3 linked regions of the Cricetulus griseus genome follow. The protein of the gene in region 1 interacts with the protein of each later gene in a pairwise test. Links are inferred from orthologs where the notes say so. Each region holds a gene or a part of one and is shown in the gene's direction. Other genes may lie near its edges.

Region 1 (7,598 bases):
ACAAAATTGGGACTGTCCTGAGATGGGGCACCTCGCCTGCTAGGTGAGCCACTTGTGGTTACTGTGGCCTCCAGGCACCTGGCCAGGTGTTTGCTGTGGGGCACACGGAACTTGGCCGCCAAGCTGCAGTGTCTCCGGGTGCAACACTCAATTCCTTCTTACTTAGCTGCTGCTGTCATAGTCATTCTAGCACTTGTGGGTGTTTGCTGCCTACCGATCGAGGCGACCCTCACAACTAACCCAGACTGTCAGGGTGTTGTTCTAGAGAAGAACTCAAGATGAAAGAAAGAACAGTCTTCTAATCGGCCTGGGGAATGCTGCAGTGTGTGTAGCAGAGTCAAACCTGAGCCTGGCATTCTTTCTCATCCTCTTCTCAACTAGAGAAGCCCACATAAATGTCATCGATTTCTGTTCCCCCGGGGTGCCCTCCTTGTTTGTGTGGGTGTCCTGTAATGTCAGGACACTAGAAAGTGCTTACTGCTTATGACATGTGTTTTTCCTTCCAGGTGGCCCGCCAGCACAAGCGAGAAACCAGAAACGGATAACTGGGACGCATGGGCTGCTCAGCCTTCTCTCACGGTACCCAGCGCTGGCCAGTTAAGGCAGAGGTCTGCCTTTACACCAGCCACAGCCACTGGCTCCTCCCCGTCTCCCGTCCTGGGCCAGGTAGGGGCAGTTGTGGAGGGCGTGAAGACTGAGTGGTCTGCAGCTAGTGTTATTACACCAGCAGCTTCAGCAATGCAGGCTCTTGCCATGAAGCTGGGCTGGCTGGCTGGACCTAGTTCAGAAACCTGAGACTCAGTGTAAACCTCAGAGTTCAGAGGGCGTAAACTGTCCCGCCTGTGTCTAAGAAGCTTCATTGAAAAAGCAGCATCAGAGCTGCAATGATGATCGGTTAAAAAGGTACCGAACCTGCCATGAGGAGTCAGGGTGTTCATAAAGAAAACTCTGGGTCAGCCTATTTGACTACCCCTTGGTCCCTACTGAAAAAGGCAGACCAATTTCAGGTTAATGGGAGGCCCTGCTAAGGAACAGTATTTCTGAAAGTGTAGGGGTTGTTGTCATGAACCTTTCTCTTTATGTTAATGTAGTAATGATGAAGGAATGAGATTAATGAATCACACAGCAAATGCCCATCTGGGAGGCCCCAGGGGATCACAGGGGTTTTCTGTTCTGGAGATGCTTAAGTTGGAGGAGACACCGGGCAGATCCATGGGGAAATGGTTGGTATGCAAGAAGACTGGAGTTGCTGAGCGGCCGTGCTCAGCAGGGCACTTACGTGAAAGCCTAGAGCCTGCAGAGTCTCTGTGCCCAAGCCACGGAAACGGGAAGACACGGCAGGGTTGGGCAGAGGGAAAGGAGTGAGCCAGGTGAGGAAGGGAGAGAGAGTCTAGTAAGGAGGAGTTGAGTACACGGTGGTGGAATTGGGGCTGTCTGGCACACTGGCGGGACATGGCTGAGAGCAAGCGGCTGGCTGTAGCAAGCACCATGAAATCCAAGGGAGTGGACATGGCTGAGAGCAAGCGGCTGGGGCGAGGGAGGACGCTGCACGGTGTTCCTTTGTTTCTACCTACACTCAGCACCGAAGCGTATCCCATCGGTGCTCAGCCACCCAGGAGGTGCTGTGGGTGAGGCGTGAGTAAAACTGTGTAGGCAAGGGTGAGCTCTAGAACTCGGGAGGACAGAGGTGGTCGTGCTATCAGAGAGCACTCAGGACGGAGAAGAGGCCATCATGGATAGCGAGAGTCAACCTCTTGGTGACTGAGGAAAGGGAAAGTCATGCAGCGTGCAAGCGTGCTGTGAGGAAGGAGGAAGTTGAGCCACGAGAACTCTGCTGGTTTGTGAGGAGTGGAGCAGCGCGTCAGTCAGCGTAAGTGAGGGGCCTGTGCATTGAGCGGCCTGCAGTGACCAGGACAGGGAAAAGCAGGGGTTCCCTGGAAACCAAAGTCACCACTGGCCGCAGCACTGCCCAGCTCAGGACCAGGGACTGTGGTACTACAGCCTCGTCACAGTCACAGCAAAGACGATAGCAGGTCTTTCTGAACATTGTGACAGCCTTCAGAAACTGAGGCTTGGAGAAATCCGTCATTGCCCAAGTGTCGCAGAATTAATTATTAAGTGGCAGATCTGGGATTCAGCCCCCGTGCTGAAGTCTCATCTGACCTCGGGCTGGTTCAGAACCTAACATTTAGGGAAGGAGTGTCAAGGGAGATGTCCCAGACTTTTGTAAAGGCACAGAGCAAATGGCTTCCCTTCCACTCTGGCCTGGAAGTCCTGACATAGCTGAGAGGAGTAGGCAAGGCAGAAGCACTGTGATCACTGGGCAAGTAGGAAGCGACAGGTGGAGAACACAGTGATCTTGGTGCTAAAATGAAAGAAAGTCAGAATGTTTAGGTGTAGGGAGGTAAGAATCCATGCAGAGCAAGGGTCAGAGGTCACACACACACTCACAGAAGTTTCCTGTTTCATGCAGTCAGATCTTACCGCAGAAATAAAAATCACCTCAGTCAATCGCAGACAGATCCAGACCAGCTGTCCTTGCACATGAACTTCTGCTCCTTATCCATTTATGTGGAGAATCCAAGTGGGGCTTGTTTTAGTTGTTTAAGTCGCCGCCATGATTTTTAAGTAGATAATAAGTGCCTCACCTGCCTTTGCAGCCTTGTCTCCTGCCCTGCCACTTCCTCTCCTCTCGAGGCCTTTGCCTTTGGCCTGGAGTGCCCTTCTGCAGTGCTAGCTCTCAAACCCTTCTCGTCCTTCAGGGCTCAAATGCCTCTTCCCCTGTGAAACTGTCCCTGGTGCTCCAAGGCAGGCTTTGTCCTTCTTGCCGCTCTGATCTCACGGTGAGGCAGGAGAACTTTTCTGTAGTGTGTTTCACTCCTCCAAGTGATATATTTTGCTGTTTTTCTCTCTTCCTGGTACACTAAGTTCCTATTACTAGAGGATATTCTTATAGCACTTTAATGTTAATAAAATGCCAATTCCCAACTATGTGGAGGGAGCAGAAGTGATGTTTTCCTCATCCTTATAACCCCACGATGTCCACAATCATGGGAAAAAACAAGCACAGTCCAGTGCATGGCCTGTTTTCATGTGTCCACCTAAACTGAAACACCATTCAATCCTGAAATGTCTGCCCCGTTACATCAAAGTATAAAAGATGCACAGCCAGTGCATCTGAAGAAGTAAGGCTGGGTGGGGCTCTGGGAGCGGCCGGCAGGGTTTTTAGATCTCCACATTTAAAATGAACAATTGCAGAGAAGCCACGAGGCGCCTAGCATTCCTGCCAGGCAGAGACGGTGTCTCTGTCTTGGTTGATTAAAAAACTGCAGTGTAATCACGGGTCCTTTATGTCATCCCACACAGGGTGAAAAAGTGGAGGGGCTACAAGCGCAAGCCCTGTATCCTTGGAGAGCCAAGAAAGACAACCACTTAAATTTTAACAAAAACGATGTCATCACCGTTCTGGAACAGCAAGACATGTGGTGGTTTGGAGAAGTTCAAGGTCACAAGGGTTGGTTCCCCAAGTCTTACGTGAAACTCATTTCAGGGCCCGTGAGGAAAGCTACCAGGTACTTTATTGTTATCTGCTTCTGTTTGACGGAAACAGTATTAGCAATTGTTGTCCCTGCTGGTTAGATTCACTGGTGGGAGCTGCAGGATGAAGTGTGTGTGTGAAGGGTGGAAAGGGATCCCGTTCTCCTGAGCAGCCTGTGCACTGTGTTGCCTTGTCTAAGAATCCCGCAGCTGTTGGGAATTGTGACTCTGGATGCTTAGTACCCAGTACAGTACCAAATACAAGGCATTTGGGGAATCGACTGGAAGAATGAATGAATGGCTTTCTTCATTAGTGTCTGCATGTAGCATAGAACTATTGGATTATTCCACCATGCAAAGATAGCAGAAATAGCCCACAACATCTGCTAGTCAGTGCTGAAGAGACTGCATTGAGCTTGTGTGTCCTGTGTAGTGAGTGGGCAAAGCAGACGGGTGAGCGTGGTCACGCATGCCTCCAGCACTCTCACTGTGGCCGTACCCAGCTGCTAGTGACTGCTGCAGCTTTGGTCTTCTGTAGCTTTCAAAGAGAAAAGCAATGTCATTTGGTATTCTCAGGTGAGAGTTAAAATACTCTTTTCTTCCCTTCTTACAGCATCGATACTGGCCCTACCGAAAGTCCTGCTAGCCTAAAGAGAGTGTCTTCCCCAGCAGCCAAGCCAGCCGTTCCTGGAGAAGGTGAGGACGGGGTGTGTCCGCTCTCTTTAGGAGGCTGAGCACATTACTTGGTGCAGACTGTAAATGACCATGACTGGATTCACTTTTAAATAGGCCGGATGTTTCTGTCCTGCCTAATGATGTCTGGCAGTGAGAAGCCCACTGCGTCCACCAGGGGTCAAGTTCTGAGCATGTGTCAATGACGGCCTTGCTTCCCCGTGTAGCCCTCTTGTCTTGTTTACATCCATAACTGTATTGCTTTAAAACTGATGGCACAGTCCAGTGAAGCTCTCAGAACACCACGAGTGCCTTGGGTACACCCCAGCTGAGCCACAAGATCTCTGTGCTCTGTGAATGACCAAGTCAGGTTACATAGGCTTATTACAAATAATTCATTGCTTTTTTCCCCCCTCTGACCCTTGTTATATGGCATAGTCCTAGGTATTATATGCCAGGCTGTAAAAAGAGGTATTTTAAAGTTTTACACAGTTGAGGCCTCACTGGTCTCCTCCACGCTCACCGCAGTCATTACCTGGTAGCGCTGGCCGGGGCCACCTGAGTTAAGCATCTGTGTGGCAGTGAGCAGGCTCTGCAGTTACAGATGTCGGCAGAGGTGTGTGGCAATCTTTTCACAGGTGTCTGGAGTACATCTGTGATGACAGAGTGTGCTTCATGTGCTGTGGTAAAATTGTTGTGTTCCTTAGAAACTTTGCCAGCGGAAAACAGAGTTCTCGGAATAATTGCTTCAGCAGAGGCTGCACGGATGAAGGCTTAATGCTCGTTCCAACTCCCAGGAACACTAGTCCATTCTTAAGGAGACTTTTCAAAATAATGGTTGTTTAGTTTGCAGGCATAGTTGTAAAACCCTATCGCCACTTAAAAAATTCCAAATTTTTCCACGTAACTATTACTATTTTTTATATGAATATACATATTTATTATTATATGGACTCTCCTAGGATAATCTTTACACATTCACATTTCCTTAATAATTATTTTAGCACTATTAGAACAAGGCAAAAACCTCTTTTTTGATATAACATGCTTTCAGCCTAATTAAAAACAAATTTTACCTCTTCCCCAAAACAGAACAACAGCAAAAACTCAAGTGTATTATATGTCAACAGGTCTGACTGGGGGAGAAGTCATATTCTGGCTCTGTCATAGCAATTACATGATTTCAGTCATGCCTCAACTTCATCTGTGAAGTGCACATACTAACCACCCTTTTGGGGGGAAATTATTCCAGGGATTATGAATTAAAATGTATAAAGATTTTAGAATGAAGGCCAGTAATGTCCGCTCCTTTCACTTGGCCTCGTGTCCTTGCTTACTGTATAGCTACTCAGAGCAGTGAGCGTTCTCATCAGACAGTAGTGTGGGAGGGACTGTGCCAAGACTGCAACACTCGAGATCCTAACAGGTCACAGCTGCCCCTCATTCACTCTTAAAGTTAGGCAGCAGAATAGAGATAGGTTCCGATCTGAGGTGGTGTCTGTCTGGTTTGAAATGAGTTTGGGCATTAGAAAAACCAGGAAGGATTGCTGGCCTCGTGGCAGGAGAACTTGTAGGAGGATATTGGCATTAGAAATTCTGAGAAAGGCTGTTTACAGATTAGCAAGCCTCTTATTAATAATACATTAAACATCTTATTTAAACTCTAAAGTAGATTTAAATAGATTATGCATTTGAATAGATGGAAGTGGTAGCTTGGGACCGGCCTGGGCCCCTCTTTTAAGTGCCCCCTAAAAGGGGAGCCTGCTGGGAGCCCTCTGAATTCTCTCACAGAGTCTGACTTTCCCACAAACTTGTGCAGGGTGGGGCAGGAAATGCAAGCCTCTTGGTCCTTTTGGGCCCCTTAACATTTTGCAATATTGCGCTCAGTTAGCGGTTTCATTTCCAAGTTTCTTAAACATCTTGAAGGATACTCCAACATTTTAAAGGGATTTAAAGAAGGTGATATGTATTGAATAATCCAGGAAAGGTTTAGAATGCTCAGAATCCTGTCAGAAGTGGCTGGGTGGGGGACAATGGTAAAGGGGAGCACACATGACCAGTCAGTGTCCAGAATACTGAGAAATCAAGTAACTGTAAGCACGAGAGGAGAATGCGCTGGGACCACTTCGCTCTCCAGGCGTGTTTGGTTTCTCAGCATTAACTATGGAGCTTCATGTTACCAGAATGGAGGCCCAAAGTCAGAGTCCTGTTTTCCCAAGCACATTCGGGTGACCTTCTGTCAGCTGTGGGTCTAGCAGTCAGTGCTGGCTTCAGCACAGGTCCCACTAGTCACCTGGATTTGAAGGAGACCTCTTGTAGTTAGGAATAGACGTTTAGCTCAGACTTTAGGGGTTCTGTGTACCTATGTCGGTTTTCATTAGGACAAAGCTTTTCACATTAGCCAGAGGAGGATCTAGCCAGACCATTCGGCTAGTAAAGTGCTTGCAGCCAAGCCTGACAGCCTGAGAGTGATCCCAAAGTCCATACACCTTGTCATCTGACCTCCACACACGAGCCATATACAAAATAAATGTAAAATTGGCCAGTGGAGCTCTAATGCAGAGTTCTAGCTGCTAGCCAACCTTACACTCTGCTTTGAAGGGTTTTATCTCCTGTAAGATATGTTACAATGTAACAATCCAGTCAGTCCTGAGCTTTCTACAGCAGAGTTGCAACCTGGCACTCTGCTTTGAAGGGATGTATATCATGTGAGATAAGTTTCAATGTGACAATCCAGTCTGTCCTAAGAGTAAGCTTTAAGAAAGGCTTGATGGGCTGCCGCGTTTAGTCCCAGCACTCGGGAGGTACAGGCAGGTGGATCTCTATGAGTTCGATGCCAGCCTGGTCTCCAGAGCGAGTGCCAGGATAGGCTCCAAAGCTACACAGAGAAACCCTGTCTAAAGGAAGGAAGAAAGAAAGGCAGGCTTGATGGGATATTATCTCATCTAAGATATGTTACAATGTAACAATCCAGTCTGTCCTGAGAGTAAGCTTTACAAAAGGCTTGATTTGTATTACTTTTTTTAAATGTGTAAAGGCCTAGAACAGAGCAGGGAAAAAAAACCAGAAATAAACATGTGTCTCTCTCTGTAAACCGTCTGTACTCCATGTATAGGGTTTTGTGTCCAGCGATCTTGACTATGACTTTGTCCTGAGCCTCGGGGTCAGATCAAAGCAAAGCAGAGTTCTAGAGTTACAGGGAGCTATCCCTGTGGAAGACACTCCTCTGACTGGAGTCACTAGAGAAAGAATATCAGCTCTTCCTCCTTGAGGCTATATCACATGCCTAGTAACTTCTAATAAGCTTGTTAGAGATGATTGGTTATTTTCTTGTGCTAGGGAGATGTTACTTTTGTCATTAATCCCTGTACCTGCTTGTGCAACCTGGG
Region 2 (7,598 bases), on another chromosome or scaffold:
AAGCATAAGCTTTTAAAATTGTTAGTGAGATGCCTCACACCTATGTTGGCTTCCTTGAGTCAGTGGCCAAGGACTAGCTCAGCTCCAGTTCTGAAAGCAATGCAATTTCTTTTGGACCTTTTGAGAGATAGAAACAAGTTTCCCATAGTGACTGCCATCAGGGATATTAGCAACCTCCCAGCTCATCCTAAAAGAAGACCAGCAATACGTGGGTCCTCTCAAAAGCCGTTGGGTGTTACCTAACCCACGGTCCTTAACTTCCCATCCTCCGCCTTTGTCTGCCAATGCATCTCCCATAGCCGGCGTGGGGCGAGCTTTCATGTTGGAAACCCGCTCCTTTTTCTTCGTCTTAAAGAGATCTCTGGACAAAAGAATGCTATCCACGGAGTTCAGATGAGCAACGGGTGCTTCCTGTGAGCAGCTCTGCAGGCTAGACAGAACAGCAGAGGCTCTGTTCACGAGGTGGCTGGGGAGTTCTCTGAGCCAGGGCTACATCAGGGATGTTTTCTGCTCAGTTTCCGCTGGGAAGCTCTGACTGAAGAGTACATTTTTAGAGGAGTTGCGACCTCCCGCCCCTTTATTTTGACTTTTATTTTTGTGTAATGAATTATATGTTGGGTCTTGGGCAGAAATGGTGCCTGGTTCACCAAGCACCAAGATGGGCGTCGCACTGAGGAAAACATTTTCAGGTGTCCCACAAACAAGCCTTGACAGAAGCTTGGCGGGAAAGGCTGAGGGCTCCTAAGAAGACCAGCCTAAGATTCACACTTCCAACTCGTGGCCAGATTTGGTTCTGAAAGCAGCTGTTACACAAACAGAGGGATGAAGAGGGTGACCAGATGCTGGGTGCTCTGCAGTGGAATAACTGAATTACCTCCCTAAAATCTCACAAGGCTTGAATGTCACTAGTTGAATGCCAGGCAGGGCCAACCCATTAACACAGAACGTACGCATGTGTGTGGCCCTGGGTTCAAACTCCAGCCCTTACACAAACACACTCTGAAGATGACAATTGTATTAGCTGTGACTCCCAAGAACCTGTATGTTCGTTTGTAGCCTGTTCCATATAGAAACATTGTGGCAATGGTGTAGAGTCTCCTTTAGTCATGAACACCCGCTTGTTTCACTGGCACAAGGGCCACAGCTGGGGCTGCTAGTCAGTGACTTGTCTCTCACTATTCAGAACACACAGGGCTTTGTCCTCTGCACCGCTGATCCAGTCTTTCATCACTGGTTCTCTGCATCCTGGCCTTGTTCAGAAGTGAAATCATTACACACTGCGCCTGCAGGGCAGGCAGGCAGGCAGGCAGGCAGGCAGGCAGGCAGGCAGGCAGGCAGGCAGGCAGGCAGGCAGGAAGTGCTTCAAAACCTGAAGTGTGGGTTTGGGGGCAGCTAGATCAGGCCCAGCTTTGGGGTTACCCCATTCACAGAGATTAATCTCAGTGACCCTTCTTTATGTTCCCATCAGCAACTTAGAAACGGTCACAATTTGCTCACGCCCTTCACCCACAAGGGCCTCTGCGCTGGAAAGACAGCAGTTTTGTGGTGCTGAGCGTCCTTTGAAAGCTCTGGTGAAGGAAGCATTGCTTTCAGGACTTGGGGGGCAGGAGAAGGCACAGCTTGTGCAGGGTTGCCGGAGTTCAAAGCCTTGCTTTTAATCCCAAACCATTTTTCTTTTTGCTTGACTTTTATTTCTTTCTGGGTGGCTAAGCTGCAAACTTCTATTAATCTACTGCCAAGTAACTTTTCTTAAAAAGGTGGATAGGTTGCCCAATCCACACCCAAGACACGGCTCTCGGGAATGCTGGTAGGACAGTTTTGTGTGGCTGAAAATGGGGGAAAGTCAGCACCATTTTCTCTAGGGAGCAGATTCTTCCTGGGCTTTGGGTGTGAGCTGCTGGAACACAAATGGACTGGTAAATTTGGAAATTCGATCCCCTGGCAATCAGAGATCTTGGGGCAAAGAAGCCTAAGCATCTCTGCAGTTTCCAGTTCTGTGTTAGCAGAACAGCCAAAATGTCAGCTGTGGTGATGAATACCTTCCAAGTCACACACAGGCAGCGGGAGAGAAAGCCCAACATCATGAAGTGACATTTAGCATTTAGGGACAGCGTGGAAGAAAAACAGAAACAGCCAAGAAGTGGTTGCTGGAAGGGACATTTTACCCGATTTCTGCCCTTCCTTGTTAAAACAAAGAGACTTCTTAACATGGCTTTCAAACTTGCACACCACACACCACTCCCCATTCTCTTCTGTCTCTGTGTCTTACACACACACACACACACTACACATATACCCCCCATACACACACATACACACTTTAGCTCTTTGCAGTAATTTTTTTTTTTTTTTTTTTTTTTTTTTTTTTTGGTTTTTCGAGACAGGGTTTCTCTGTGTGGCTTTGGAGCCTATCCTGGCACTCGCTCTGGAGACCAGGCTGGCCTCGAACTCATAGAGATCCGCCTGCCTCTGCCTCCCGAGTGCTGGGATTAAAGGCGTGAGCCACCAACGCCAGGCTTAGCTCTTTGCAGTATTAACAGTTTCCAGAAGTAACCAGAACTAATCATGTCAACAAATACAATTCCTTTTCTTTGTGTGTGCCTGTGGTAGAGGCGGGGTGGTTTGAGAAAGTGTCTCCCTGTATAGCTCTGGCAGTTCTGGAGCTCTCTGCATAGACGAGTGTACATCCAAGCAGTGGGATTAAAAAGCATGTGCTACCATGCAGGGCTACAGGCAGGTTCTTAAAAGCGTAAGTGATCAGATGAACTAAAGTAAGTGGCCTGGATCGAGATATGAATGACTTTGCCTCCCAAGTGCTGGACTTAAAGGTACACAGGTGACTGCCTTTATTCCTTTTGTTGTTTTTGTTTTTTTGTTTTGTTTGCTTGTTTTGAGACAGTTTCTTTGTGTAGTCCTGGCTGTCCTGGAACTCACCCTATAGACCAGGCTGGCTTTGAACGCACAGAGATCCACCTGCCTCTGCCTCGCAAGTGCTGGCTCAAAGGTGTGCACTACCACTGCTCTGCCTGTCTTTAATCTTTGTTGGTTTTGTTTGTTTGTTTGTTTGTTTGTTTTTCGAGACAGGGTTTCTCTGTGTAGCTTTGGAGCCTATCCTGGCACTCGCTCTGTAGACCAGGCTGGCCTCGAACTCACAGAGATCTGCTTGCCTTTGCCTCCCGAGTGTTGGGATTAAAGGCAAGCGCCACCAATGCCTGGTGCCTGTTTTTAATCTTAATAATCAACACAGACCAGTCCACCAGACATCTCTATGATGTATATTCTTGAAGGAAAACATGGATTTTTTTTTTTTTTTAAGATTACTTGATTTAACTTGTTCACCATGACTGCTTCTCCGTGTTATTTGGGCCTTTCTTTGTTTTGATGGACTACAAGCTTTAGTTTTAATTGGCTTGCACAGGGTAACCCAGGAGAACTGTGAAAGTCTGAGCTATTTAAAGCTGCACAGACTTTGCTTAATGCACAACCCTTTTAGGTTGGTGCTATTGAATATGAAGCATTCATTGGAAATCAACTGGCAGACAAAGTCTCAAAGCAGTCTAGTTATGAGCTACCCAAAGAAACGGACCACATCGAGATCATTACAGTGGCTTCATTTCAGGAAAAACAAACAAACAACAAAAATAAGACCCACTAAGGCACTGGAGAGAGGATATTTCAGTGGTTAAGAGCACTGGCTGTCCTCACAGAGGACTCAAGTTTGACTCCCAGTACCCACATGGTGGCTCACAATCATCTGAACTCCAGTTCCAGGGGATTCAACACCCTCTCCTATCTTCTGAGGGCAGCACGCATGTACGCAGTACACATACATATGCAGGAAAAGCTCTCACACATATAAAATAAAAATAAATAATATTTTTTTTAAATGTTTGCTGTCAAGCGGTGGTAGTGCATCCTTTTAATCCTAGCACTCAGGAGACACAAACAGGTGGATCTCTGAGTTCAAGGGCAGCCTGGTCTACAGAGTGAGTTATAGGACAGCCAGGGCTACACAAAGTAACCCTCTCTCAGGAAGGAAGGGAAAAAAAAAGGAAAAAAAAATGTTTGCTGCTTAAGCTTGAGGAGTTGAGTTCAAGTCCCCAGTGTCCACATGTCTGCTGTAACCCCAGCACTGGTGGTGGGGGGGGGGGACAGAAGCAAGAGGCTCGCTGGGTCCTTCTGGCCATCAGACAGACTCCAGGTTCAATGAGACCCTGTCTCAAGGACATAAGGTGGAAAGTAATAGAATACCTAATGTCTTCCCTTAGACCAGTGGTTCTCACCCTTCCCAATGCTACAACCCTTTAATTCTGTTCCTCATGTTGTGGTGACCACCCAATCCCAACCATAAAATGATTCTTGCTGCTACTCCCTAACTACTGTTAGGAACCATAATGTAAATATCTGATATGTGACCCCTGTGAAAGGGTGGCTATACCTCCCAAAAGGTCAAATTCACAGGTTAAGAACTGCTCCAGACTCTTGTGTATATATATGCACAGATGTATGCTCCCACACATATACCACACATACATACAAACACACACACACACACACACACACCAACTATAGAAAAGACTGTTGATGGGGTATAGAGAAATACTTGAATCCATCACAACCCTGTGACAGACCACGGTCCTCACTTTCATTGTAAGAGTAAGCAAGAAATACACAGAACTATTTGATCAAAGAAACAAAAGTTGTTCCCATGAATATCCTTATAAAAATGCCCAAACTAGCCAGGGGTGGTAGTGGCACACACCTTTAATCCCAGCACTCGGGAGGCAGAGACAGACAGACCTCTGTGAGTTCCAGGCCAACCTGGTCTGCAGAGCTAGTTCCAGGATGGCCAAGGATCTACAAAGAAATCCTGTCTCAAAACAAGAGAGAGAGAGAGAGAGAGAGAGAGAGAGAGAGAGAGAGAGAGAGAGATGCCCAAACTGAACCTGTTAATAAGCAGTCTTTCGCCACCTTGGAGAAATAATTGTGGAAAAGCAAAGCAAAGGTACAGGGGAGGGTAGTCATGGAGAACTCTAGAACTGTAAGTTGGTCTTTATCCCAAAGGCTTTGAACCATGTTATTATGTGGACCTACAGGATTGCCAGGTGAACGCTTACCAAGCAAAAAGGTTTTAATTTTAAGGGAAAACTAACAAATGTTTAGGAAATCTCTTTCCCACTAGGTGTCTCTGGGGGAAATGCAGGAATTAAGATAGTCTTCATCAAGCCTAGGTTGCATTCTTCTCCCTATCTCTAAGCAAATTACATAAAAATCTAACTGAAATATTTTGCTTCTCCAGTAGCCGCTTGAAAGCTGCCCCAGATCGGGGGAAGAAATCCGATGCTGGACATCATAGTGACTTCAGTAGCTTACATTTTGTCCCACCTGTGAAATCACCCTACATATGTTTTATTATTCCATATAGCAAAGATTCAGATCTGTGGCAACCAGCATATTCACCTCAAAGGCCACCGCCAACTGCTCTTCCAAATACTGGGAAGATGCGACAATACCCCTTTGTCAGAATCCACCGAAACAAACAGGAAGTAGTTATACTTCGGTAAATATCCCGGAACTAAATCTCTTTTTTTTTTCTTCCAAAGCTTCCGCAGGTTCACTCGGTCCAACAGTGTGACCACCGCAGTGCAGGCTGACCTGGACTTCCATGATAATCTGGAAAATTCCCTGGAATCTATAGAGGACAATTCGTGTCCCGGCCCGATGGCCAGACAGTTCTCCCGGGACGCCAGCACGTCCACCGTCAGCATCCAGGGTTCAGGGAACCATTACCATGCCTGCGCAGCCGATGATGACTTTGACACGGATTTTGACCCCTCCATCCTGCCTCCCCCGGACCCCTGGATTGACTCAATCACAGAAGATCCTCTGGAGGCCGTTCAAAGGTCCGTGTGCCACCGGGATGGCCACTGGTTCCTGAAGCTTCTCCAGGCAGAGAGAGACCGCATGGAAGGCTGGTGCCAGCAGATGGAGAGAGAAGAACGGGAAAACAACCTCCCCGAGGACAGTAAGTAGCGCCGTCACTCGTGTCTGTGACTGTGGTGTGGGCCGTGCGGGTTTGTGTTCCTAGGCTTTCCGGTTTGCATTTCTGCCAGCTCAGCCTGTGAAACCTTCTGTTTCACGCACCAAACTCAAACTCCTGGAAGAGCTGGGCAATTCCACTGAAACACCAGAAACTGGTATACTGCACGATAAGAGAGAAAGCCACCGAGCCGATGCCACACCCTCCGGCTCTAAGACCTGTAGCTTTCCTTTCCTGCTATGAAACACATTCAAGATCAGCATGGCAGTGGTCTCAGTGTCTCCCAGAATCCACACTTCCCCCAACAGGATCTTGAAATGCGTCTGATCCCAATTCTAACTAGCTGGGCAGTGGTGGCGCACACCTTTAACCCCAGCACTCGGGAGGCAGAGGCAGGTGGATTTCTGTGAGTTCAAGGCCATCCTGGTCTACAGACGGAGTTCCAGGACAGCCAGAGCAGTACAGAGAAACCCTATCTTGAAAAAATCAAATATGATGAAACACCATGAACAAAAGCAAGTTGGTGAGGAAAGGTTTTATTTGGCCTACACTTCCACATCACTGTTCATCATTGAAGGAAGTCAGGACAAGAACTCAAACAGGACAGGAACCTGGAGGCACGAGCTGATGCAGAGGCCATGGAGGGTACTGCTTACTGACTTGCTCCTCATGGCCTGCTCAGCCTGCTTTCTTATAGAACCCAGGACCACCAGCCCAGGGATGGCCCCACCCACAATGGGCTGGGCCCTCCCCCACAATCACTAACTAAGAAAATGCCCTACAGGCCTGCCCACAGCCCATTCTTACTGAGGCATTTTCTTAATTGAGGCTCCCTCCATGGTGATTTCAGATTTGTCAGGTTGATAACACTAATAACCATCACAATGTGTGTGTGTGTGTGTGTGTGTGTGTGTGTTGGGTATTATAATCTTTATAGTTTTATTAGTCTTATTAACATGTAATATTAAAATAACAAGTGTATAGGCCAATAGAAACCCTGCTTATTGCATCTTTCAGCCTGTTTGGTTCTTTTTTCCCCTTTTTTAAAATTAGAAACAAACTTCTTTTATATGTGAATCCCAGTTCTCCCCCCCCCAACCCCCCACCCCCTATCCTAACCCCTTTCTGCTCCCAGGAAGGGTGAAGCCTTCCATGGGGGAATCTTCAAAGTCTGTCATATCATTTGGAGCAGGGTCTAGACCCTCCCCCATGTGTCTAGGCTGAGAGTATCCCTCTATGTGCAGAGGGCTCCAAAAGTCCATTCGTATACTAGGGATAAATACTGATCCACTACCAGAGGCCCCATAGATTGTCCAGACCTCCAAACTGACATCCTTGCTCAGGGAGTCTGGAACAGTCCTATGTTGGTTTCCCAGCTATCAGTCTGGGGTCCTGTTTGTTTTTTGAGACAGGGTCTTACATAACCCAGGCTAGCCTGGAGCTCAGAAGCAAAAGATAACTTTGTACTTTTCAATCTTCCTACTTGCACCTCCCAAGTGCTGGGGTTATAGATGTGTGTCAGTCCCCCAAGTTCTGGAATTATAGGCATGCACCACCA
Region 3 (7,598 bases), on another chromosome or scaffold:
GGCCGACGGGCGCTCGGCCGGGCGCGGCCCGCCCGCTGCGTTGGTCCGCTTCCCGTTGGCGGCGGCCGGCCGCTTGGCTTGACGTGCGGCCGCTCGAGTCGGTATCAACCGTCGCCATGGTTTCGGCGGTTGCGGCGGCGGCGGCCTGCGGGCGAGCGGGCCAGCGGGCGGGCGAGCGGCCCCGGCTCCTGCGCTGTCGGGGGCCCGCGGCCCCGTCCTCTCCCGGGCGCCCCTGCGCTGACGAGAGTCGCGCTTGTAGACCAAGACCGTGCGGTCTCGGAAAAATTCTCAGCGGCTCGCGGCTGCCGTGTTTTCAGTTGTGGGAGGGGGCAAAGAAAAATTAAAAAAAAGGTCAAAAGGTGAACCCGAATATATAAAATAGAAAGCTATAGAAGTCTGTATCCGTGCCTGCTTGCTTGCTTTCTTCCTTCCTTCCTTTCTTCCTTTCTTCTAGTTCTCTATAATCAATGCCCTTCTTTTCCCTTCCTCTCCCCATCATCCTGCCCCTCCTCTTTTCGGATAACGAAACGTTTTTATAGTGAAATAGTCTCCGGGCAGTTGATCCCTTGGTGAGAGAAGCATTAACTAGAAAGAAAAACAAAACAAAACAAACAGAAAAAAAACCCTACGAAGTCTTCACAGAGGAGCCAAGGGAATTACAATTGTGGGAGTCTGTTAAAGTTGTCTCGGGATCTACCTATTCCCTACCTTCAAAGGTGTCTTTTTTAAGAAAGAAAGTCGACTGGTTGGGTGTGCAAAGGGGGAATACCTGTAGCCAAATGTCACATCGTTTCAACGGCTAACATTTCTTTACTGTATTATTGGAAAGGTTAAATTTTAAAGTTAACATTCATCCATTTTGAATAGAAGAACTGATACTAATACAAGCTTTGAAATTATTTTCCTACAGTGACCTGCCACTTTTAGTTACCTTAAAATAAATCAAGAGTCATATGTGTTAGTAAGAAAAGTATGTATGTTAATATTAAGATTGGGAAGTTCTATTCATTTTTTTTTTGCTTGAAAGTCATGAGTCATATTTGACTTGGTATTGAGTCTAAATTAAGTATGTTTAAATTAATTACCTTTTACCATCTGTGGGGTTTTGAATGAACAGTGCCTATGCCAAGGAGAAAAGTAGAGAACATATATTTGTCTTTGAGCCTAGAGTCATTATCACTACTTCTCTTTGACTTCACCTTATATATAAAGGGGGAAGGGTGTAGGAAATGAACTGTTGACTTCTTACACTCCAGGTTTGTATCACATTATTAAAACATTTTCTAGTTGGGTTTTGTTTTGAGATAGTCTTTTATGGCCCAGTCCACATTCCAAGTGCAAACTCCTAGTTGAATTTTTTTTCAGTTGACAGTGCTACATAATCCATAGCAGAGTGTTAAATGTGGAGAGTTCATGTGTCTCGTTGCCTTGACTGTACAGATGTTAGCTTTTCTGTGATGAAGAAAGGTAAAGCCATATTATATGTTCAAAATTAAAGAGCAAGTTCTTTTTTTGTTTTGTTTTGTTTTTTGTTTGTTTGTTTTTTTTCGAGACAAGGTTTCTCTGTGTAGCTTTGGAGCCTATCCTGGCCTTTGCTCTGGAAACCAAGCTGGCTTCGAACTCACAGAGATCCACCTGCCTCTGCCTCTCAAGTGCTGGGATTAAAGGCATGTGCCACCAACGTCCGGCAAAGAACAAGTTCTTACAAAATTAATAATCAGAGGGGTATTTCCAGAAATTGATGGGAATTCTAAAAAGGAAGACATGTTAAACATACAGGAAAACTGAGTTCTTTTCTTTTTCCAGGTTTCGTTTTTTTGTTTTGTTTCTTTAATGAAGAAGTAAATCATATAAATTGTCAACATGGGACGGAGATCAACATCCTCCACCAAGAGTGGGAAGTTTATGAACCCCACAGACCAAGCTCGTAAGTGCCATTAGTGTGAAATGATGACGTTGAAGAGTTAAAAACTGCAAAGAATATTTCCCCGAGGCTTAAGCAAGTTCAGCATTGGTAGAAGGGAGTTGTGTGAAGTCATGTTGAATTCTTAAAATTAACTCACATGACTAAAATGTTGAGAGTGTACATCAGTTAAAACCATGTTCTTGTCAAGCTTTGTTGGCTTGCAGGATAAAATTGGATTGTTTTTCTTTTTGTGTTGGAATTTTTAAACAAATGAGTTTTAAGCGCTAGTTTGGTATTTGAGAATCTCTTTTTCTCATTGGTTCAGTTATTTCTGTGAAAAGAAACATTTTAGCATCTGGAGTTCTTAGGGTTAGAAGTGCTGCAGTTGTGCAGTTGTCTGCAGGTCGAAGCCACCGATGCCAGTGCATATCCAGGTGTTGCATAGGGGAGCCTCAGAAGAAAAAAGTGTGTGCTGTCTTGTGGTAATGTTAATGTTGAAGATTTGAGGTATATGGTCTCTTTCCCTCTCTTTAGGAAAGGAAGCCCGGAAAAGAGAATTGAAGAAGGTATGAATTCAGACACATTCTGTATATTGATTGAGATTCATGAATGATAATAACATGTAAATTATATGCTAGAAAAGATGCTTTATACTTCTCATGAAAACCAGACAGTTTACTATGTTTAAAAACTGATATGACTGATAAAACTTTGGACATTCCATTCATAGTGCTTGTTTGACACTGTTTATGTAATTCTCCTGCCTCATAAGTTTAAAAAAAAAAAAAAAAGAATTCGTTGGGGGCCGGAGTAATGGCTCAGTGGATAGCTTCACGTACTGCTCTTGCAGAGGATCTGAGAGTTCCATCCCCGGCATCCATGTTGGGTGGCTCACAGCCATCTGTTCCTCCATCTCCCAGGAATCCAACACCCTATTCTGATCTCCACAAGAACTCATAAGCACATGCCTACACATTCACACAAACACGCCCATATATAAAATTATATTTAAAAATGCCTTTTAGAAATAATTCTTAAGATGATTGTGGTAGCACACTCCTGTAATCTCAGCACTTGGGATGTGGAGATCAGAGACAAGAGTATCAGGAGTTCAAGGCCAGCCTGGGCTACATCAGACCCTGTCTTGAGAAAGTAATTATTTTTACCATGTACCAAAATGTAGCTGCTTTGTTAAAAGCTATTGAATGAATGCCAATAAATGTGTTGGTGGATATCTTTGTGTATCTAATTAGCTATTGAATTTTGACAGAGTAATTAGAGGGGTAAACATTTGGTATCACTCTTCAATGCATTCAGGGCTTTTATAATCTCTGGTATGCTCTCGAGTCTTTCAAAAATATCCCTATCCAGCATTGTATTTTTTTTTTTTTTAATTTAACAGCAGCCCTTTGTTTTTTGTTTTTAAAAAAGTTGTTCCTGTGGTAGTTGCTAACAGTCTAACTGGGTTGAAAGAAATACTTTCTGTGAAAGCATACCTTTTTAGCAATGTCCACACATTGTTGAGAACAAGAAATCTCATAACTGTTCCTGGTGGTTTAAACATGATTTGAAACCAAAGGAAAATGTGAAATGATTTAGATTCTTGAGGCAAATTGAAGTAATAATGTCCTGAGCATCCAGCCTCTTAGTAGTCTTCTCTTTTGTTTTTCTAAGAACAAAAAACAACGAATGATGGTCCGAGCTGCGGTTTTGAAGATGAAAGATCCCAAACAGATTATCCGGGACATGGAGAAATTGGATGAAATGGGTAAGAGTATATGAAAAGGCCAGATTTATTAACAGCTATAATAGTGTGGTCCCCAATGGCAAGCAGCATAGGCCTAAGAAAACCGAGCAACCTGATGGCATAGGACACGACATTTTGTTGTAATGTTTTGGAAATAAAGTGAAGAGATAAGATCCATTGCAAGCTGGAGATCACATGTCCTAGAAGAGAGAAGCCATCATTCAGTTGGGATTACTTAATGTTATTAGGCAACAAAGGCCGAGTCTGGCCAGCTCACTTTATAATTGTTCAGATTTAATTATATTTTCCCTTTGCCGTAATAAGTTAGCAGAATAAAAAAGGACATGCACTCAAATTCTTAGTCAGTAGGAGTAGTGCAATAATATATCTTCTAGATTTGAGTAAATCATCAAGTTATAGGAAGATTTAGGGAAAGAATTTAATTGAACTGGTACTTGAAGAAAAAGGAGAAAATGTCTTAATCATCGGGGCCCTAGTTCCATTTATAAAAATCTGAACTAATTAAAATAGAAAGGTGTGCCTTGGCTTCCATAACTGAGACAGCCCTAGAAAGCTGTCTCTAGGAGGAAGCCCAGAGAGTCTCCAGAGGACTGTTGTGTCTGCTTGCTCTCCTGCACAGCTCTAGTGAACAGCTGCATGGGGTGGAAAGTGGAACACGTGTGTGCGGATAGCGGTAGCCAGGAGACAAGGCCATAACATCACGCAGATAGTGGGAAAGCTGCTCTTTCATTTCCAGTCCCAGGGAGGGCTAGGAATGCAACTCAGGAGATAGCACGCTAGCCTGGGAGTTCCGAAGGAAGATGCGATTGCCTGGTGGTCTATCCCCCTGAGCACAGAGGACTCAAAAATAAAATGGTGGTATCTGGAACTAGTTTGTTATTGATGAAGTAGCTCTTTGTTTACAGTTCTATAATCTGCTTTTCTCCCAGAGTTTAACCCAGTGCAACAACCACAGTTAAATGAGAAAGTCCTGAAAGACAAGCGTAAAAAGCTGCGGGAAACCTTTGAACGAATTCTACGACTTTATGAAAAAGAAAATCCAGATATTTACAAAGAATTGAGAAAGCTAGAAGTAGAATATGAACAGAAGAGGGCTCAACTGAGCCAGTATTTTGATGCTGTTAAGGTAAAGCTGCTCTTGGGAGAGGACCAGATGTGTTTTTAGATTAAGTGTGCACCTTATGCTCTAGCAGAAAGTATTTGTATAGTAATCCATTGATAATAAAGAGAAACAACACATGATGAAAATTAGTAACAGTGTGAGCCAGCCATGGTGATGCACACCTTTAATCCTTGCCTGGGATTGGAGACTATAAAAGAACATGGATGAGGCCCCAGCCGGTGTTGCTTCTTTCCGTTAATATTCCATGTGCTTATACTTCCAAAATGGGCAAAAACAGGTCTGTTAACACTGGCTGACTGCAAGGTGTCAGAAGTCGGTTGAGGAGTAGGATATACCCACTTGTGTGAGCTTTTATAGTTTATTACAAATTTTTCTTTACTGGGGCAGAAAATCAAAACCCCAAATGGAATGATTTTGGTGAAGTAGATGGCATGTTTCCAACAATACAAGACAGAATCCCAAGAAAGGTTCATGAATTTTAGAGACTGGGTACTCTTTGTCAACAGATGTGTGTTGCTGAGCAGAGTGTTGCAGTAGCCCTGCCACGGTTGGATTTCTTTAAAACCGAAGCTTTTTCAAATCATACTGGTTATAGGGATTTTGAAAGAATAAGCTATATTTGGATTCTTTAAGAAGAAATGATAGATTTCTTTCGTTCCCTGGGCAGTTTTGGCTTGAGGTGATTTCTCATGATCTTTGTGTTAGTTGGAAAACAAATTGAGGATGTCGGGTTCTTGGGGCTGGGTTTGGATGGGTGCTGCACAGCTGGCTGGGTCTCTGTGTTGCAGAATGCTCAGCATGTTGAAGTGGACAGCATCCCTCTGCCAGACATGCCGCACGCTCCTTCCAACATCTTGATCCAGGACATTCCGCTTCCTGGTGCCCAGCCACCCTCCATCCTTAAGAAAACCTCTGCGTATGGGTAAGGAAGCCTGTCGTGACGGCAGCTTTTGACTGAGGTGCCACAGCCAGTACAGGGAGACATGCAAGGCTGTGCGGGTGTCATTAGTGTGAGAGCAATGAAATGTGGAGTGGGAGCATTGCAATTGTACAGGGAATTAGACGTTCTCACCGCCACTGTAGGCATAGATAACATGATCAAGTTCTCTTTACAGGCCGCCAACTCGGGCAGTTTCTATCCTTCCGCTCCTCGGACATGGTGTTCCACGTTTGCCCCCTGGCAGAAAACCACCGGGCCCTCCACCTGGCCCACCTCCTCCTCAGGTTCTGCAGATGTATGGCCGTAAAGTGGGTTTTGCTCTAGATCTTCCCCCTCGTAGACGAGATGAAGACATGCTGTATAGTCCAGAACTTGGTATGAAGGGGCAGGGTCTTTTCCTTTTGTCCTTCTTGAGATTGTTTCTATGTTAAACATACTTAGCATGTTCACCACAATGAGAACACAAGGGAGTGAGGACACCATGTACTTACTGCTGTGTGTTCCCAGGGGTAATCCACCAGAGCTGCCTGGTGAGAGCCTGTTGCATACAGATGTCACTACAGATCCCTAAGACTGGATTGAATTGCTTATTTTCAACTGGCTAGAGTTACTGACAGTGCATGTGACTATACACAGAAATAATTGCTTCTAATATGATGTGTTTGAACTTCTTACAAGAAAACAAAAGTATTTAAAACAAGTACCCAATAAAAATATCACAGTACATGACAGCTGACATTGCATACAGAATTTTACATGTTATAAAGTTAAAAATAGCATAATTTTGTATTTCTGGGTACTTTGAAGGACAATCATACTTGTTGTCTTTGTCATCAGCTCAGCGAGGTCATGACGATGACGTGTCCAGTACCAGCGAAGACGATGGCTACCCTGAGGACATGGACCAGGACAAGCACGATGACAGCACTGATGACAGCGACAGTGACAGATCTGATGCAGAGAGCGAGGGGGATGAGTTTGGGCACCGTGAGGACAGTGAGCGCGATAACCCTGAGGAGAAGAAGTCAGGTATGTGCCATGGTGAGATCAGCACACAGATAAGCCCAGTACAGAGTCACAGTCATGGCCAGCTCCTTTGGTTTGTAATTTGAGGTGGTGTCTATGTGGTTTATATTTGTGTGTGTGTGTGTGTGTGTGTGTGTGTGTGTGTGTGTGTGTGTGTGTGTGTGCGCGTGCGCACGCGCACACGTGTGTGTGTGTCCGAGAGTGTATGTGCGTATGCCAGGGCACATACATGGAGGTCACAGTTGGTTCTCTCAGTCCACTATATCAGTTTGTTTGATGACAAGTACCCTTATCCACCTGAGCCAGTCAAGACCAGCTTTAAGCCCAGTTTGGTTTGGTTTGGTTTGGTTTGGTTTTGAGACAAGTGTCACTGTTACTTAAGCTGGCCTCAAACTTGTGGTGGTCCTCTGCTTCACCCTCCCACATTTGGGAATTGCAAATATAAGCCACCATGCCTGGCCATTTGTCTTGATAGTTTGAAAAGTTTTGATACATTATTCTTACAAATATTTGTGAGAGTTAAGTGGGTGTGCAGATGAATGTGTCAGGGCGCTCCAGGAGGCCAGAAGATGACATTAGATCTCTGGGAGCTAGATTTTCCAGTCCCCTCAGGATTGCACAGTGGCTCTTAACATTGAGCCATCTCTATCCCTTTCCTAGTGTTTCTTAATCATAATTACAAATATCAAAAAAATCTATCACAAATAGTGACAGGATGAGCCTGGTGTTATAAAATATAGAAGACTCTTCAGTAGGAACTGATCTTATAAAGGAGAGAGAAGCTAGAGCCCCATGGACTGCTTTTTCCTGAGAGGCTACATGGTTTCTCTCCTCT

What was found. The genes of interacting proteins can lie anywhere in the genome.
Region 2: the proteins of Itsn1 (region 1) and disks large-associated protein 1 interact in a two-hybrid assay, tested with the Homo sapiens proteins (2 studies listed by BioGRID and IntAct). The link is inferred for Cricetulus griseus from reciprocal best matches to the Homo sapiens genes ITSN1 and DLGAP1.
Region 3: the proteins of Itsn1 (region 1) and Wbp11 interact in a two-hybrid assay, tested with the Homo sapiens proteins (2 studies listed by BioGRID and IntAct). The link is inferred for Cricetulus griseus from reciprocal best matches to the Homo sapiens genes ITSN1 and WBP11.

The regions. Positions count from the first base shown.
Region 1 is NC_048597.1:5,923,437-5,931,034, reverse strand, and holds part of Itsn1 (intersectin-1), read left to right. Parts: intron 1-506; coding exon 507-666; intron 667-3,366; coding exon 3,367-3,572; intron 3,573-4,150; coding exon 4,151-4,233; intron 4,234-7,598. UniProt on the Homo sapiens protein: Adapter protein that provides a link between the endocytic membrane traffic and the actin assembly machinery. Acts as a guanine nucleotide exchange factor (GEF) for CDC42, and thereby stimulates actin nucleation mediated by WASL and the ARP2/3 complex.
Region 2 is NC_048595.1:459,282,015-459,289,612, forward strand, and holds part of disks large-associated protein 1, read left to right. Parts: intron 1-5,603; coding exon 5,604-6,025; intron 6,026-7,598. UniProt on the Homo sapiens protein: Part of the postsynaptic scaffold in neuronal cells.
Region 3 is NC_048601.1:12,200,755-12,208,352, forward strand, and holds part of Wbp11 (WW domain-binding protein 11), read left to right. Parts: intron 1-1,806; 5' UTR 1,807-1,863; coding exon 1,864-1,927; intron 1,928-2,440; coding exon 2,441-2,472; intron 2,473-3,580; coding exon 3,581-3,674; intron 3,675-4,603; coding exon 4,604-4,800; intron 4,801-5,585; coding exon 5,586-5,719; intron 5,720-5,912; coding exon 5,913-6,112; intron 6,113-6,574; coding exon 6,575-6,766; intron 6,767-7,598. UniProt on the Homo sapiens protein: Activates pre-mRNA splicing. May inhibit PP1 phosphatase activity.